2 linked regions of the Sus scrofa genome follow. The protein of the gene in region 1 interacts with the protein of each later gene in a pairwise test. Links are inferred from orthologs where the notes say so. Each region holds a gene or a part of one and is shown on either strand. Other genes may lie near its edges. The genes, in order: FBLIM1 and CUTA.

What was found.
Region 2: the proteins of FBLIM1 (region 1) and CUTA interact in binary tests that used the Homo sapiens proteins (3 or more experiments, as listed by UniProt). The two-hybrid records come from large-scale screens. The link is inferred for Sus scrofa from reciprocal best matches to the Homo sapiens genes FBLIM1 and CUTA.

Annotation. Positions count from the first base shown.
Region 1 is NC_010448.4:74,953,706-74,957,513, forward strand, and holds part of FBLIM1 (filamin-binding LIM protein 1), read left to right. Parts: intron 1-1,782; coding exon 1,783-1,900; intron 1,901-3,808. UniProt on the Homo sapiens protein: Serves as an anchoring site for cell-ECM adhesion proteins and filamin-containing actin filaments. Is implicated in cell shape modulation (spreading) and motility.
Region 2 is NC_010449.5:29,719,350-29,722,983, forward strand, and holds CUTA (protein CutA), read right to left. Parts: upstream 2,324-3,634; 5' UTR 2,288-2,323; coding exon 2,223-2,287; intron 2,140-2,222; coding exon 2,088-2,139; intron 1,834-2,087; coding exon 1,625-1,833; intron 1,479-1,624; coding exon 1,419-1,478; intron 1,311-1,418; coding exon 1,265-1,310; intron 1,138-1,264; coding exon 1,088-1,137; intron 961-1,087; coding exon 834-960; 3' UTR 745-833; downstream 1-744. Other genes in the region: PHF1 (PHD finger protein 1), read left to right, coding at 8-296. UniProt on the Homo sapiens protein: May form part of a complex of membrane proteins attached to acetylcholinesterase (AChE).

The sequences.
Region 1 (3,808 bases):
CTGCAGTGGCTTGGGTCGCTGCTGTGGTGTGAGTTCAATCCGTGGCCTGGGAACTTCAACATGCCATGAACAAGGCCAACCTCTTCCCCCCAAAACAACCCAAAATACCCCCCTGTCTTCCAGGCAGGCACTATTAAGGGTTCTGGTTTTTATTGTACTTTTTGCCCAATATTGACATTTACTACACCTGTCATATCACAGATCTTTCCCTCTATTACCAATTTTTTCTTTAGATTTTGACTGCTTAATATTTTTTTTTAAACTACACTATCTTTGGAAAGGTAGTTTTAGATTTAGAAAAATTGCGCAGAAAGTGTAAGAGTTCTAGAGCTCCTGCTGTGGTGCAACAGGATCGGCAATGTCTCTGCAGTGCTGGGATACAGGTTTGATCCCCGGCCCATCACGGTGGGTTAAGGATCCAGCCGTTGCCACAGCTGCAATGTAGGCATAGGTTGTAACTGCAGCCTGAATCTGACCCCTGGCCTAGGAACTCTGTATGCTGTGGGGTGGCCAAAAAAAAAAAAAAAAAAAAGGAGATTAAAAAAGAAAGTGTAGAAGTTCTCGTCATGGCGCAGTGGTTAACGAATCCGACTAGGAACCATGAGGTTGCGGGTCGGTCCCTGCCCTTGCTCAGTGGGTTAACGATCCATGTTGCCGTGAGCTGTGGTGTAGGTCGCAGATGCGGCTCGGATCCCGAGTTGCTGTGGCTCTGGCGTAGGCCGGTGGCTACAGCTCTGATTGGACCCCTAGCCTGGGAACCTCCATATGCCGCAGAAGTGGCTCAAAGAAATAGCAAAAAGACAAAAAAAAAAAAAAAAGTGTAAGAGTTCCGTTTACCTGAATCTGACTAGGAACCAGGAGGTTACAAGTTTGATCCCTGGCCTTGCTCAGTGGGTTAAGGATCTGGCGTTGCTGTGAGCTGTGGTGTAGGTCGCAGACGAGGCTCGGATCCCGCGTTGCTGTGGCCCTGGCATAGGCCAGCAGCTACAGCTCCGATTGGACTCCTAGCCTGGGAACCTCCAAATGCTGTGGGTGCGGGGTCCTAGAAAAGGCAGAAAGACAAAAAAAAAAAAAAAAAAAAAAGAATCCAACTAGTATCCATAAGGATGATCCCTGGCCTCGATCAGCTGGTTAAGGATCCGACATTGCCATGAGCAGTTGCTCAGGTTGCAGATGTGGTGTGGCTATGGCGTGGGCTGGCAGTCGAAGCTCTAACTCATCCCCTAGCCAGAGAACGTCCATATGACACAAGTGCAGCCCTAAAAAGACAACAAAACAAAACACCCCCATGACTTAACTTTGGAGCTTTGCTCTCAAACACCAGACCACATTGCCTCCCCTCTGAGCTGGAGCCGTATCGAGTGGTAGCAGCACACGTCTCTGTGAGGCTCCATCCCTGCCCTCGAGTCGCTCACTTCCCACAGGGAGGGACAAATGTGCTTAGTGAGAAAGGAAAGAAGAAAATGAAATACAAGACGCATGAAATGGATCCCTCTGAACACACATGAGAGTTCTCTGCTTTCTCAAATTCCAGCCTTCCTTGGTCACTTCTTTGCCTTGAGCTAATTATACCCTGGGAAGCCAAGTCTAATTACCCGGGTCTCTCCATCCACTCCTGCCAGGAAGAAATAGGCATTTGTGGTTGTAGCTTCAGGTGCAGTTGCATAGCACCAGGTCTGAAATAGCTCTGGGAGGTGAACGTGAACCGCCCAGGGTTCTGACAGCTAATTTCTATGGCCGGTGGCGTGAACACCTCCAGAGTGTGGGTTTCTCTCCCTCTAGGAAATTCGCCCCTGTGTGCAGCATCTGTGAGAATCCCATCATCCCCCGAGACGGGAAGGATGCCTTCAAAATCGAGTGCATGGGAAGAAACTTCCATGAAAATTGCTACAGGTGTGAGGTGAGTGAAACAGTGATGATTTTGTAAGTTGCTGCAGATCCTGTGTAACTGCCGCCCCAGCCCTATTGAGAACCAGGCCCTGGGGCAGGACAAATCCTCTGCTCTCAAATTTCTTCCCATCCAACACAGAGACAAGTAAGGTTGGAGGGAATCCCTGTTGTGGCTCAGTGGTAACGAACCCAACTCGCATCCATGAGGATGCAGGGTTGATCCCTGGCCCCTGGTCAGTGGGTTAAGGGTCCGGCATTGCCCTGAGTTGCTATGTAGGTAGCAGACGCAGTTTGGTTGGGTCTGGTGTGGCTGTGAGCTGTGGTGTAGGCTGGCAGCTCCAGCTCTGATTTGACCCCTAGCCTGGGAACTTCCATATGCCGCAGATGCAGCTCTAAAAAAAAAAAAAATAATAAGGTTCGAAATGATTACACACGTAGTCTATTAATCAGAACTCTTTGAGTTAATGATAGAAACCAAGCTCAACCTTCTTTCTGCAAGAAAAGGGATCTTCCAGCAGGCTCTGGGTGGGGACATCCCCGATAACATCCTGGGGCTCTCTCCACCTCTCGGTTCTCCCCTTTTGTGTGTTTGCTTCATTTTCTCTTCTGTGGGTTGGTGTCCTCCCACAGAAGAGAAAAAGGCAGGGGACACAGGGCATGGTCATGGCTGGCTCAGGTTTATATCCTTCCAACTTGGAAACCATACCCAGGATCCCACATAGTCCCAAGAAGGCTTCTGATTCACCCACCTTGGGTCACGTGCCCATTCTGGACCAATCGGTGGTCAGGAGCTATGATTCATAACCTCTGGGGCCAGGGAGGCAGAACTCTTATGAAACAGACTGGGGTGGATACAACCATAGGAAGCAAGAAAAAGATGCTGGGCAGACCTACACCACAAGTGTCCTTCCAGGTACTAAGAAGGAACTTATATAAATCAACTTTGGGAAAAAGAAGGCAGTGAGCAAGTCTAACGAGGTTGGTGCAGTTGAAGGCACTCTTTTTCTTTCTTTCTTTTTTTTTTTTCTTTTTTGACCACACCCACGGTGTGTGGAAGTTCCCAGGCCCGGAATCAAATCCCAGCCGCAGCTGCAGCAGCACTGGATCTTTAACCCACTGCTTTGCAGTAGAGACAACGTCAAAGGCACGCTTATAGGAGTTCCTGCCATGGCGCAGTGGGTTAAAAATCTGACTGTAGTGGCTTGAGTCGTTGCCAAGGTGCAGGTTGGATTCCCAGTTCTATGCATTGGGTTAAAGGATCTGGCATTGCTCCAGCTGCAGTGTAGGTCACAGCTGTGACTTGAGTTCAGTCCCTGGCCCAAGAACTGCCATGTGCTGTGAGTGTGGCCATGAAATTAAAAAAAAAAAAAAAAAAGCCACTCTTATAGAGGAGGCATTGCTTAACCTGGGTTTTGCAGGATGGGTGGAAGTTTGCCACATATTCAGAGAGGGAAAAAGAAGTACAGAAAGAGGCAAGGGGAGTTCCCATTGTGGCTCAGTGGTTAACGAATCTGACTAGGAACCATGAGGTTGTGGGTTCGATCCCTGGCCTCACTCAGTGGGTTAAGGATCCGATGTTGCCGTGAGCTGTGGTGTAGGTCACAGATGCAGCTCAGATCCTGAGTTGTTGTGGCTCTGGCGTAGGCCGGCGGCTATAGCTCCGATTGGACCCCTAGCCTGGGAACCTCCATGTGCCCTGGGTGCGGCCCTAGAAAAGGCAGAAAGAGGCAAGGACCTGTAAAATCTCACAGTGGCATCAGTGAGCCTGAAGCATCGGGAGAAGTAGAAATTTCTAGGTGTGTCTGAGTACAGCATGGCGAATGGTGTGGTAACTATGGGGCCAGAGAGAAAGAAAAGACCCCGTGTGCCAAGCTAAGAAGTCTGGACCTCAGGCTACAGGGAGTGGGGAGGCTGGTTG
Region 2 (3,634 bases), on another chromosome or scaffold:
TCCCCAGGTCACCCCTGGAACTTCACATTGGTTTCCCCACAGACATCCCCAAAAGCACCCCCAACTCGATGACTGCCTCATCCTCCTCAGTCCCAACCCCCTCCCCAAGTCTTCCTAGACGCTCAGCACCTCCTTCTCCCCTGGGCCGCAGTTTGTCTCCTGGGACTGGGGGAGGAGTCCGAGGCGGGGCTGGCTACCTGTCCCGAGGGGACCCCGTCCGGGTCCTGGCTCGGAGAGTGCGGCCCGATGGCTCTGTGCAGTACCTGGTTGAGTGGGGAGGTGGGGGCATCTTCTGAACAGCTTGCCTCTGCCTGCTTCCCCATTCACACACGCCGGCACTTTCATACCCTGACCTCTGACCTCACCTACAGCTGGGATGTACCTGGGGCGGTAGCGGGTACTTCTCTCTGCTGCCCAGGCTGGAATCCAGGCGGGGAGGTCGGGGAAGAGGCCCTCTCTTCTCCACCCCCTTTGTGATTCCTGACCCTCTCCCCATTCCTCTTCCCATTTCCTTTGATGTTATTTTGTTACAGCTTTTTAAATATTTTTTAAAATTATTTAACCCCTGGGACGGAGACTGAGGAGGGGAGGAGGATAAAGGATCCTGGGCTCTGTATGATTGAAATAAAGATACATGAACAAACTCAGCAGCCCAGAGTCATTCTGAAAGAAGAGTGCAAAGGAACTAGAAGCACTTCCAACCTTAACAACAAATCCACTTTTTGACAAGGAAAGAGACAAATGGCAGAGAGAACTAAGGGTTTATTAAGGCTCCAGTCATGGCCTGAAAGTCAGAGGACACTGAAGGGGAACCTGGCAAGAGCAAAGGCTCGTCATGGTAGGACTGTGCCAGAGTCAGGCACTGATTCTGTAACCTGGCGCACCCAGTGCAGGTATGGGGAGTTCCCCTGCTCCACTGGCAGTGCAATCACCTCGGCCACTTCGTAAGGGTGTACAGAGCTGCAGAAAAGATGGGGGGCAGCGATCACTCAAAAGATTTACCCAAAGGCGCTCACCCTCTCAGACTGCCCAGCAAGGCTCACCCCACAGTACACACCCTCACCTCTACCCATATCAAAGTTCTCACCGAACGAAATCTGTCAAAGCTGGAACCAAGGAACTCTGGGTTTTAATCATCTAAGGGGTGAAGAGGAACATGGTTGAATCAAGAAATTATGTTAATTTCAGGATCTCAGAGGAGAGGTAAAGGTCAAAGCAAGTGGTCAGGGAATTAAGTTTTGCTTGGGTGGGGAATATTTCTCACCATCAGCACTTCACTGTCCTCCTCAATCTTGCCTTTCCACTCATAGCTGAAAAGGTCACGGAGAAAGTGTTGTGGGAGCATAGATCTTCCCCAAAGAAAAAGACTGCCAATCCGCCCCTAGAGTTAGGTCAACCCCCCCAATCCCATGACTCACATGGATGTAATCTGAGGGATGAGGTTGACACAGGCTGCCAGGCGCTTCTCCACCACAGCCCTGAACGTGAGGAGACACCCCCATTTAGAGCCCCCACAACCCAGGTTTTTGCACTGGCTTGCAGGAAGCAGCGGGAGGGCTGCTTCTCTCCACCCCCAACTCTTCCTTCATGAGCATCCTTTCTCGCTCCACACTGAGATCCCCACCTGGCGATCTCCTTGGCGACCTTCTCGTTGGGGCAGGTGACAAAGGCTGCAGAGACCGAGCCGGGAACATAGGCGGAGCCCGAGGCCGGCGTGGGCTGGGTCGGGGGGCTTCCTGAAGCCATGGACAGCAGGGCTCGGGGTAGCAACAGAAGGCGGGAGACTATGGGCAGCAGTGCTGGCATCCAAAGAAGCGACAGGAGCAGAGTGGCCTGAGAGCAGGAGGTGAATTCGGTGTCTCCCGATAAACACCCCAGGAAACTGTCTACCGCTTGCATAGACACTCAGGCTCTGCCCTCCCCCTTCTGTACCCCAAAGAAAAAAGTCCTTGAAGCTGGGAGAGAAGGGTGAAAATTAAGGCAAAGACTCGGTGTCCACTCTCTCCTCCGGGGCCAACCTCTAGGATTTTGAGAGCGGGTAGTGGTCCAGGTTCCGAGGACCGGAAGGGGCGGGGCTGGTAACTCACCCCTCCGCCGAGCAGGATTGCGGGAGCCCGCACCCCCCTCATGCAGCCTATGCTGGTAAAGGAGGGCAGAATATCAAAGACCACATGGTACGCGGAGAAAGTACCCCAAACCCAGGAAGAGAGGCCTCTTCTTACCTGGGCGACAGCCACGTGATAAGAAAACAGCGCACACCACGTGACAAGCCGAGCCACCCTAACATCCAGAGCCAGCCAATCCTTGCCCTCACGTGGGCCGGCTTGCCCCGCCTCCAGCTATGGGCGGAGCTAAGGGGGATCCAGCCAATCAACAGCCGGATCTGCAGCCGTGCACGGAAATGGCCCTCCCGTTTCCGTGTAAGCCGGAAACGGCCAATGGCAGGCGGAGGCGAGCCGCGGCAGCTTTCCACTGTCACGTGAGGGGGCCGGTCCCCTCAGGCGGCGGTACCTCGAGAAGCTATGCGAAGAGGCCAATCGCGGAGCACCCTCGTGAGCACGTGACGAGAGAACTGGCTCTAGGAAAGGAGGGCTAGAGATCCCGCAGAGTCGATGCGTCAGGTTGTGGCGCGGGGAGTCATCCTTAAGCCCTAGAATGCTCCTAGTAACAGCCCCTGCACGGAGGCCTTAAGGAGCCCAAGGGCCGTGGGAGGCTGGACCTCGGGGCTAGAGGGAGCGCCCCCTGCTGTTGTGGTCAGGACTGACATGCCAGAATTGAGGGGGCCCAAGTAGGAGCTCAGAAGCACTCTGTTCTAGGGTAGGGGGCGTGATTAGGCAGCTAGTCCATGGCTAGGTCAGGAAGAATGCACTTCGAAAAGACATAGGGAGTCCCTGAAAATGGATAGAGGGTGATTAAAAAGGGACCCAGGGCGCCTCAGCTTTCTGAACTGAAACCTGAAGCTGAAGACAGACTGGCAAATCGGGAGAGGAGGGCTGCAGGTTGGGCATCTGGAGAGAACACCAGAAAATAGTGTTGGTCTTTTCGTCCCTTATCCCCTTCCTGTTTCGCTCTCCCGGACTTGTCTACTTCTCAGTCTTGGGTCTCCTTCCCTTAACCCATCCCCCTAGGAGCCAGGACCTGCCCTACATAACCTCCCTGGGGCCCAAGCGTATCCTGTGACCCAAAAATTGAGAGAGGGGCCAAGGAGAGGCGAAAGAAGAGGGAGGCGGCAAGGAGAAAGAGGCTCTTTCTACTTCCCCTACCCAGCATTTCCCCCTCCCTCCTAGGTCTGGGGTCTCTGCTCCGCTGGGCGGGTGTGACTGGGCATTCCCCAGGCAGAGTTTTTGCACACGTAGTTCTTAGGGGTTGGGATCTCCCTGAGACCTCTGTCTTGGGCTTTGGAGTCTGCTGCTGAGATAGATCTCTGTGGGGTCTTGCAGTATTTGCATTGGGATCTTTCTTAGGACTGAGTTCCCTTGTTTTTTGTTTGGGGTTTTTCTGGGTCCATGTTCACCCTCTCTCTGAGGTCTTTGAAATTCTTTATGAGTTTGTGGTCTCTGAGTTCTCTATCTCTGGGCTAGATGGGAGTCTCTTCTTCCACCTCCCCACTTCCCCTGGTCCTCAGGTCTGGAAT